Linked DNA regions of Macaca fascicularis. The protein of the gene in region 3 interacts with the protein of the main gene of each other region in a biochemical or structural test. Links are inferred from orthologs where the notes say so. Each region holds a gene or a part of one and is shown on either strand. Other genes may lie near its edges.

Evidence for each region.
Region 1: the proteins of UBE2E3 (region 3) and RNF14 form a complex in vitro, tested with the Homo sapiens proteins (2 studies listed by BioGRID). The link is inferred for Macaca fascicularis from reciprocal best matches to the Homo sapiens genes UBE2E3 and RNF14.
Region 2: the proteins of UBE2E3 (region 3) and RNF25 form a complex in vitro, tested with the Homo sapiens proteins (2 studies listed by BioGRID, with this or other methods). The link is inferred for Macaca fascicularis from reciprocal best matches to the Homo sapiens genes UBE2E3 and RNF25.

Annotation. Positions count from the first base shown.
Region 1 is NC_088380.1:148,455,171-148,459,608, forward strand, and holds the start of RNF14 (E3 ubiquitin-protein ligase RNF14), read left to right. Parts: upstream 1-1,563; 5' UTR 1,564-1,626; exon of another isoform or gene 1,627-2,123; intron 2,124-3,162; exon of another isoform or gene 3,163-3,336; intron 3,337-4,438. UniProt on the Homo sapiens protein: E3 ubiquitin-protein ligase that plays a key role in the RNF14-RNF25 translation quality control pathway, a pathway that takes place when a ribosome has stalled during translation, and which promotes ubiquitination and degradation of translation factors on stalled ribosomes.
Region 2 is NC_088386.1:114,596,496-114,599,123, reverse strand, and holds part of RNF25 (E3 ubiquitin-protein ligase RNF25), read left to right. Parts: intron 1-18; coding exon 19-93; intron 94-356; coding exon 357-459; intron 460-551; coding exon 552-619; intron 620-715; coding exon 716-785; intron 786-2,048; coding exon 2,049-2,120; intron 2,121-2,217; coding exon 2,218-2,361; intron 2,362-2,628. UniProt on the Homo sapiens protein: E3 ubiquitin-protein ligase that plays a key role in the RNF14-RNF25 translation quality control pathway, a pathway that takes place when a ribosome has stalled during translation, and which promotes ubiquitination and degradation of translation factors on stalled ribosomes.
Region 3 is NC_088386.1:76,567,604-76,570,890, forward strand, and holds the end of UBE2E3 (ubiquitin-conjugating enzyme E2 E3), read left to right. Parts: intron 1-325; coding exon 326-473; intron 474-2,131; coding exon 2,132-2,229; 3' UTR 2,230-2,766; downstream 2,767-3,287. UniProt on the Homo sapiens protein: Accepts ubiquitin from the E1 complex and catalyzes its covalent attachment to other proteins. In vitro catalyzes 'Lys-11'- and 'Lys-48'-, as well as 'Lys-63'-linked polyubiquitination.

The DNA.
Region 1 (4,438 bases), on a different chromosome or scaffold from region 3:
ATAGACAGAGCAGTGCCAAGGGCTGCTGGTTGCCCATTTTTATGGTTATTTCTTCATGATATGCTAAACAAGTGGTGGATTATTCATGCCTCCCCTTTTTAGACGATATAGGGTAACTTACTGACGTTGCCATGGCATTCGTAAACTGTCATGGCACTGGTGGGAGTGTAGCAGTGAGGACAACCAGAGTTCACTCTCGTGGCCATCTTGGTTTTGGTGGGTTTTAGCCCACTTCTTTACGGCAAGCTGTTTTATCAGTAAGATCTTTATAACCTGTATCTTGTGCTAATCTCCTATCTCATCCTGTGACTTGGAATGCCTAACTGTCTAAGAATGTAGCCCAGTAGGTTGCTCAGCCTTATTTTACCCAGCCCCTACTCCAGATGAAGTTGCTCTGGTTCGAATGCCTCTGACATTTTGAAGTACAAAAGTTTTTAGCTTTGGTGAATGCAATTTATGTGTTTTTTTCCTTTGTTGCTTGTGCCTTTAGTTTCATGTCTAAGAAACTATTACCTAATTCAAGTTCATAAATATTTACTCCTACATTTTCTTCTAAGGGTTTTTTGGTTTTTTTTTTTTTTTTGAGAGGGAGTCTCGCTCTGTCGCCCAGGCTGGAGTGCAGTGGCGCAATCTCGGTTCACTGCAAGCTCCGCCTCCCGGGTTCATGCTGTTCTCCTGCCTCAGCCTCCCGAGTAGCTGGGACTACAGGCACCCACCACCACGCCCTGCTAATCTTTTGTATTTTTGGTAGAGACGGGGCTTTACCATGTTGGTCAGGCTGGTCTCTATCACCTGACCTCATGATCCGCCCTCCTCGGCCTCCCAAAGTGCTGAGATTACAGGCGTGAGCCACTGTGCCTGGCCTTCTAAAGATTTTATAGTTTTAGTTCTTACATTTAGGTCGTTGATCCATATTTAGTTAATTTTTGCATATGGTGTGAGGTAGGAAGCATATAATTTTAATTTCTGCTTAGCCTGATGATAATCATGTGACCCTTTGTAAGTTTTTGCACCTAAGTCTCAATTTCCTTATTTGTAAAGTGAGAATAACAAATGGTAGCTAAATCATAAGGTTACAGTGAAGATAGAAAATTTACGTAGAGCATTTATCACAGTGCTTGAAGCATCCTAACTGCTCAATAAATGCGGTCGGTGTTGCAGTTATAACATGAGCGATGAATGCGTGCTTCTGCAGTGGAGCTCCAGAAAGACGGGCAGCATTTCTGAGAAGGTAAACGGGAGGAAGCAGGCTAGCTTAGTCCACTTAGAGAAGCAGGTCTGGGATTGTTGTGAGAGTCTCTGCCCTAGGTAGACCACTGCCTCGTGATCACCTCTAGGGATTGGTAAAAATTGGAATTCTCGGGCCCCATCAGAACTACTGAAAACAGCCTCCTGTGAGCACTGGGCTCGCAGTGGTTGGAGTGACGGCGGTCGCGCCGGCAGCGCCGCCTTGGGCCTGCGGGAGGCGCCCGAGAGACAGGGGCGACCACGGCGGCTGCGCAGAGTCCTCTCTAGGCCGACTACCCCACCAGCGGGATCCGCTTGGCTCAGCTGACAGCTCCCGAGAACGGAAGAGGCGGTGCGCCGGTTGAGCAGGGAATTGCTAGGCCTGGTCGGCTGGCGGCGGTGAGTGGGCCCCGGGCAAGGGCGGAGGGCGGAACTTTGGAGCTTGGCACTGCCGGGTGGCCGGAAGATACGGTGGGGACAGCTCTCTGGGCGCGCGAGGCAGAAAAGGGGACCGGGCCAGGACTGTACAGTGGGCCTCAGTCGCTCAAACCCGGGACCGGGCGTCCGCAGCCCAGCTGGCCGGGACTCCCTTCCGGACGCTCCTGAGGAGGAAGAGAAAGGTGTGGGCCCTGCTTCTTTGGGAGGCCCCAGGCTGGCCAGCAGCTCACACGCCCGGATAGCGCCCTCTGATCCCAGCGCTGGGGCGGATAGCTAGCCTTGGACTTGCCCCTGTTTTGGGGTAGTCGCCCAAACGACTCCGCACGCCGGGTGGCGAGCTGAACCCAGACCAGGACACCCGAAGACCAAATGGATAGAATGAGAAGGAAATGGGGGTAGCAACCAGAATTGAGGTACTGGATTCCAAGTGACAGCTTCACAAGCTGAAATCTAGTAGGGTAGGTCATGAGGAACTGTTGAAACACTGCTTGGAGTAGAAGTTGCTAGCCCTGACTGCATATTGGAATCACCTGGAGAACTTGGACAACTACTGAGGCCTGAATTAATTGTTCTGGGTGTGGCCTGGGTATTCAGATTTTAAAAAACAGCTCCTTAGAAGATTCTAATGTGCAGTCAGATGGAGAACACTAACCTAAAACCATAAACTGCATAAATGAATCTCTCATCCCATTTGCAAATGTTTTAACAGGAAGAAACAAAAAGCTTAATTAGCACCATATATTCCCACCTAGTAAAATTGTTTAAGATTAAATAAGACAATGTGAAAGGACCTAATACTGTACGTAGTAGGTGCTCAATAAATGTAAATTGATTCTGAATCTCATTCTTATTGGGGAGTTACACATCCGAGAATCTGTAACTTTTTAATTATGGTTTTGTATATGGTATTTTTGCATATAATTTTAGGGTGTTGATAGGATTCTCCATAACCCATCTGAGACCATACTCCCTTTTCCCCTCACCCCAGTGAAGAAGCCTAGCTCTAAAGCGTTTAGAATAAAACTTAAAAGTTTCTGTTTGTGTATTCTTGTTTTGTTTAAGTATTTTTCTGTTATCAAAATTAACCATGAGTGCCACTGGTGGTATTAATTCATGAACAAGAGAGGAAAAACTGGAGGGGGATGGCAAATGAAGGAATACAAAAAGCAGAAGAGGAAAGGAGAAAAAACAAGAAACTGAAGAGGCTGTTTGTTATGGGGCATGGTGTCCTGTCCTCTCATATGACCTTGGTGTTCCTCCTTACCTCCTCCCATGGCTGAGGGCAGACAGATAAAAAGTCCTCAGTCATTGCTGGGCACATGCAAATACTCCTTTAACCACATGGCTCAGTCAGTCTGCCCTAGGAGAGTAACATGCACCTGTAGATTAGGATTGGCTGTACGTTAGGATATGTTTGACTTAAGTGGTGATCATGGAAATTCAGAATTTTAATTTGGAGAGGGTCCTAACACCATCTTTTGTATTTCTTTTCTGCAGATGGCAGGATTTTCATAGTATATGTAGTATGAGTTCCACATCTTGGCCTCTTATCCAGCTTCAGCAGTGTCAGCTCCACCAGTTAGAGAATAAATGGGATTTGCACGAACTCCACTCTGAGCTGAAATACAGACTGTGGTGTTAATATTCTTTTCTTCTGGTTGTTATTAACAGGTACTAACTGACCTCAAGTAGAACACGTAATTGTGTCTTTTAGGGAGGCAACTTAAGCAGAGCCATGAACTAACGTCTCCTAGAAAAAGTGTTTTTTGAAATGAAATCATTTTAAATTTCACAGTATGACCTTTTAGAATGTAAAAAAATCCTAACTTTTTAATTATGTACATTTTAATTAAAAATATTTTAGTTGTGAGGGAGGATATTTGCAAATGCAATTGTTGTTCAGTATTTTAATTGACAGAATGGTATTTTGTTTTATTAAAATGATTTTTGTAAATTCTCATTGCTTATTTTTTTCCACATTTAAATTATCTGAAATTGCTGTATCTTTCAGTTGACGCTATTTTAAAAACATTGATTCATACTTTATTTATTTTTATTTATTTATTTATTTATTTGAGACAGAGTCTCACTCTATAGCCCAGGCTGGAGTGCAGTGGCCGGATCTCAGCTCACTACAAGCTCCGCCTCCCAGGTTCACGCCATTCTCCTGCCTCAGCCTCCCGAGTAGCTGGGACTACAGGCGCCTGCCACCTCGCCCGGCTAGTTTTTTTTGTATTTTTTAGTAGAAACGGGGTTTCACCGTGTTAGCCAGGATGATCTCGATCTCTTGACCTCGTGATCCACCCGTCTTGGCCTCCCAAAGTGCTGGGATTACAGGCTTGAGCCACCGCGGCCGGCCCCATACTTTATTTTTTGAGACAAGGTCTTGCTCTGTCACCCAGGCTGGAGTGCAGTGATGCAGACATGGCTCACTGCAGCCTCAGCATCCAAGGCTCAAGCGATCCTCCTACCACAGTCTCCTAAGTAGCTGGGACTACAAGCACACACCACCATACCTGGCTAATTTTTTATAGAGACAGGATCTTGTATGTTGCCATGGCTGATCTCAAACTGCTGGCCTCAAGCGATCCTCCTGCCTTGGCCTCTCAAAGTGCTGGGATTACAGGCATGAACCTCCACACCCAGCCAGTTCATACTTTAATAGTAGCTAATTTCTTTCTTTCTTTCTCTTTCTTTTTCTTTCTTCCCTCCCTCCCTCCCTCCCTCCCTCCCTCCCTCCCTTCCTTCCTTCCTTCCTGTCTCTGTCACCCAG
Region 2 (2,628 bases), about 38 Mb from region 3:
CTACTCCTGTCTCTCTAGGGTCCTTCCCTCTGAAGTTGAAGTGTTGGAGTCCATCTATCTGGATGAACTACAGGTGATTAAAGGAAATGGCAGGTATGTATTCAACCAGCGGTGGGCAGGAGTCCCCCTAGTAATGAGGAGAGGTTCTATGCCGAATCTGGGTCTTAAGACAGTGTAAGCCTTGATTCAGAGATAATATTTCTCTTGTGTAGACAAAAGCTATTCCTTTAATCCTACCCCAAAAGAAAGAGTCCAATATGTACTTTCTTTGCCCACTTTACTGTCTCAACCCCATCCTCCCCAGCCCCCAAGTCCTTACACAGTCACATCTGCGTTTCTACTTGATCCACCTGCAGAACTTCACCGTGGGAGATCTACATCACTTTGCATCCTGCCACTGCAGAGGACCAGGATTCACAGTATGTCTGCTTCACTCTGGTGCTTCAGGTCCCAGCAGAGGTGAAGCCCCTACTCTGTGGCAGCAAAGGGAGGAAGGGGAGAGTCCCTGGGGTGGATCAGTTCAGCAGTAACTTGTTATTTGCCCCCACTAGTATCCCCATGAGGTGCCACAGATCTCTATCCGAAATCCCCGAGGACTTTCAGATGAACAGATCCACACGTAAGTTGAACCTGTCAAACAGGGAAAGCTCAGCTACAGCTTTGCCCAGTGACGGAAATGGGCAGGCCTAATATGTGGTTTGCCCTCTTCCTCCAGGATCTTACAAGCGCTGGGCCATGTGGCCAAGGCCGGGCTGGGCGCAGCCATGCTCTATGAACTCATTGAGGTAAGAGGTGCGCTAGTCTGGGATATGTTCTTTCCTTCGAGCTAGAGCAGTTTCTAGCTGTAAAAGGGAAACCATGGGCCTAGAATCTTAAATAGATCTGGAATCATTAAGTAAGACCTAAATTAATCCAGAGAAATGAGACTCTTCTATTTGAGAAACTTCCCGAAAGACACTGCTTAGTGAAACAACCCACATGAAGCAACACCTGGAGCTCCAATATACACGGAAAACTTCTGCTGTTTGAGATTAAAAATATAAAGTACAGTCTTATTTTCCTCTAGTTTATTTATTTTTTATTTTTATTTTATTTATTTATTTATTTTTTGAGACAGTCTTAGTCTGTCATCCAGGCTGGAGTGCAGTGGTGTGATCTCAGCTCACTGCAACCTCTGCCTCCCAGGTTCAAGTGATTCTCCTGCCTCAGCCTCCCAAATAGCTAGGATTACAGGCATGTACCACCACACCTAGCTAATTTTGTATTTTTAGTAGAGTTGGGGTTTCTCCTTGTTGGCCAGGCTAGTCTTGAACTCCTGACTTCAGATAATCCACCTGCCTTGGCCACCCAAAGTGCTGGGATTATAGGCATGAGCCACCATGCCCAGCCTCTCCTAGTTTAAATTTTTAAGAAAAATGTTCAGAATAGAATGAAGGTGGGTGGCCGAGAGTCAAAGAGAGTGGGTTTGATAGGCCACTGTAGCAGTCCTAGGTCAGGCCTCCACAATGCAGCCTTGGACTTTGTGGAATTCCAGAGTACACTATTAGCTGTTCAAATAACAATTCAAATGCATAGTTCACAGCCCAACTCAATGCCTTGTGAATTTTCTGTCCATTCGGGTTGTCCATGCTTTGACATGCTTTCTGAAAGCTGACTTAGAACAAACTCATTGCCCCATGGGGGAATGATATTGAAGGGGACTAATCAAGAAAGGCCTCCCAGAAGATGAGTTTTAATTGAACATTTTTTTCTCTCAAGGTGTATTATTTTCATCTCCAAGATATATTAAAAGTGACTTAATGAAAGGAAAAACAATTAGGTTGAATTTTGAAACCAGGAAGATCAAATTTTGGGGGAGGGGCAGAGACGTGGAGAAGGATTGATTCCCAGCAGAGGGAGCATCACCAAGACAGAAATGCATAAACACAAGGTAACAAACTGGCCTGGTAGGAGCCAAGTCCAGCCAGTCACTCCTAGGAGTAGTAGACAGGCCTTGCTCACCATTCTTCTCCCTAACCCCCTGTTTAATCAGTGTCTTCTCTCCTCAGAAAGGGAAGGAAATTCTCACAGATAACAACATCCCTCATGGCCAGTGTGTCATCTGCCTCTATGGTTTCCAGGTGGGTTTCTCTCTTGGGACCTGGCATTCTGCTTGGGACCAAGATGAGGGCTGTGAGAGAGCTCTGACTTAGTGCCCTACATCTGCCTTCCCTCTAGGAGAAGGAGGCCTTTACCAAAACACCCTGTTACCACTACTTCCACTGCCACTGCCTTGCTCGGTACATCCAGCACATGGAGCAAGAGCTGAAGGCACAAGGACAGGAGCAGGAACAGGAACGGCAGCATGCTGCAACCAAACAGGTAGACCTTACCAGACCTGCACACTCATCTGACACCCTTAGGCACAGCCTTTCACAACCTTTCCATCCCTCCACTCCAGTGGCTCTTCACCTTTTTAGGGTCATAGATAACCTTGAGATTAATGAACTCTTACCTCTGTCCAGAAAAAAGGGCATCCTTTTATTTTTTTTTTATTTATTTATTTTTTTGAGATGGGGTGTCACTCTGCCACCCAGGCTGGAGTGCAGTAGTGCAGTCTCGGCTCACTGCATCCTCCGCCTCCTGGGT
Region 3 (3,287 bases):
CTCACTTTGTCTTTCTGTATGTGTGTGTGCACACACAGTTGTATATGATGCAAACACACGTACCCACACACATAGATAGAATTACTGTATCAGTTATTTAAGTATAACTGATCAATTCCTTACTTTAGTTCTTTCTATACAGGGTAAAAATAAAGATTTCAACTGAGTCAAAACCATTTAATTCTGTTATTAAACCTAATCTAAGGTTAGCTCCAGTCAGATAATTTAGTATCTTCTATGATATATTACCCTTCATCTTTTTCTAGTGTTTTAGTTGGTAATATAGCATTCATTTTCCTTCTGTTTTTAATGTGACTGTGCTTAGGTTACTTTCCGCACCAGAATTTATCACTGCAACATCAACAGTCAGGGAGTCATCTGTCTGGACATCCTTAAAGACAACTGGAGTCCCGCTTTGACTATTTCAAAAGTTTTGCTGTCTATTTGTTCCCTTTTGACGGACTGCAACCCTGGTAAGCAAATCTTTATTAACACAAAAACCAGTGCGTTTTTTTTTTTTTTTTTTTTAGTTAGCTTTAAATGTAGATTGAGAGGTAAATGTTATTGATAGGAAGATCTCCGTAAAATAGTTTGTAAGGAAATTACCAGTGCCATTTGAAGTAGACTAGGCCAGAAGTTTCTCAATACCTTCATTTAATTTGTTAATGGCATACCACTCTATAATTATTTTGTCACCATCACTAATGGAATCTTTACTTTTAAAACTGTTTAGGTGCACAGACTACTTCTACCAAGAGTAAACCAATGTCTCTGAAACCAGTGCCTCCTTTTCCTGCTCCTTCCATTCTGCGATAGGCTTTTAAGCAGCTACTTTAATAATAGAGGGCTTCTTGTTCTCCCTTCCTTTTTGAATTAATTAGTTATATTAGGTGTAGTAGTAATGAATATTAAAATGATAGCCAATGAGAATTGAACTAGATTATGATTATATAAACTCAGAGATAAAATCATTTGTGTGTAATTCATAACTTTAAAAAATGCCTGCCACATGTGAACTTCAGAAACTTGAGTAGCTGACTTGATAAAATGATGTTTAGACCTGAAATTTCACACATTTTGTTTTGCTATGTGATTTTTTTTTTAAGTTGACTTACTTTTTCTAAATATTTGATAAGTCACTGAAAACTGTTACTGTTGTTACCTTGTGCTTGGCCGAGATACATATACAATAGATAGAGACAGATGGATATTCATTGTGGTATCATTTATTAGAGTATTGGAAACAACCTCAATGTCCATTAATTGATGTAACTTTTTAAAAGAATGTTTATATGACTCTATATGAACTCATAGGGAAATATCTTCGAGATATATTAAGTATAAAAGGCACTGGAAAAAATACATATATACAACATAATATTCTAAATGCTTGTCAGTGCATCTAAGAACTCTGGAAAGTAATGTTGTAAATGGGTAACAGTTGTTTGCCGGGGAAAGAAACTTCTGAGTAGTTGGAGTCAGGAAGGAAGAGAGTTTTTTTTACTGGCTATGGTTTGGTACAGTTCAAATATTGTACCATATGTACATATTTTTTTCTTTTTAAACATTATGATAAAAATTTATATCAGGTTCACTCTCTAGTTCAGAATTCTACTTAAAACAAAATGGCAAGTAAGGTTTCAAGTGGAAATATAGATAGTGATTAGAGTCATATCAGGCACAGAATGAAGGAAGCATTGTATTTGAAATAGCATGGTATCGTAAGACTGGGGTTTTACTTAAAACTTGCCATTTTTGAACTATTCATAAGCAGAAATATAACCTCCTAGTATACTTCCATTGTTGAATGAAAGGCCAAAATTATAAAATAGTTTTTTGTATATTAAAGACCTGTGTCTTTCATAAAAGTCAAATCTAACTATTTTTGTATATAGCTCAAAATTTGTTGTTGTTGTTGTTGTTGTTGTTGTTTTGCTGAAGGGGGCTTTCCTAACTTGAATATTAAAATACACATATGATCATGTTACTTTAAATTTTTTCTTTTGAAAATCTAGCTATTATATATGAAGATACTGCGGAAAAGTAAGCATTTCATTTTAATAGAATATTAGAACTATACCTTGAAGAAGATACCACAAAATAGCTTTTAATGTTCTTTCCACTTTTCCAGCGGATCCTCTGGTTGGAAGCATAGCCACTCAGTATTTGACCAACAGAGCAGAACACGACAGGATAGCCAGACAGTGGACCAAGAGATACGCAACATAATTCACATAATTTGTATGCAGTGTGAAGGAGCAGAAGGCATCTTCTCACTGTGCTGCAAATCTTTATAGCCTTTACAATACGGACTTCTGTGTATATGTTATACTGATTCTACTCTGCTTTTATCCTTTGGAGCCTGGGAGACTCCCCAAAAAGGTAAATGCTATCAAGAGTAGAACTTTGTAGCTGTAGATTAGTTATGTTTAAAACGCCTACTTGCAAGTCTTGCTTCTTTGGGATATCAAAATGTATTTTGTGATGTACTAAGGATACTGGTCCTGAAGTCTACCAAATATTATAGTGCATTTTAGCCTAATTCATTATCTGTATGAAGTTATAAAAGTAGCTGTAGATGACTAGGAATTATGTCATTTGTATTAAACCCAGATCTATTTCTGAGTATGTGGTTCATGCTGTTGTGAAAAATGTTTTACCTTTTACCTTTGTCAGTTTGTAATGAGAGGATTTCCTTTTACCCTTTGTAGCTCAGAGAGCACCTGATGTATCATCTCAAACACAATAAACATGCTCCTGAAGGCATAGTTTCCTGTCGTAATATTTTACGTCAGTCTTGTTAGAAGGTGTGTCTGAGATGATTGTTGATGAAATAAAAATGCGTCTATGAAGATTACTAAAGACTAGCACAAATAAACCAATTCTTAAATTGAAAACATTTAAAGTCCTATTAAATGTGTAGAGATTTTTTCCTTTGTTATTGAAAGAATGACCGTAAATAATCAAAAGTGGATTTTAACCCATTAGTCTCAAACACATAGAGCTGTATTTTGGTAATATGATGCTTAAGTCAAAATGCGTCTGGTAATATCTTATGGAACATGTTGTTCAGCATTGGGCAGTATTGTTAGATGGTAACTTTGATGTGGTAGCTAGTGTACTTTTTACTTCTAATCCTGGTCTTGAATTTTCGTGGTGTGTATTACCATTCTTACTATGGCAGGTGGCCAGCAAATACAGCCAGAGGCACAGTTGAACACAGAAATCTTTGTCTGCCTTGAAGGTAGACTAGAACTGTGTTAGTGTACAATGTGATATTTCTCAAT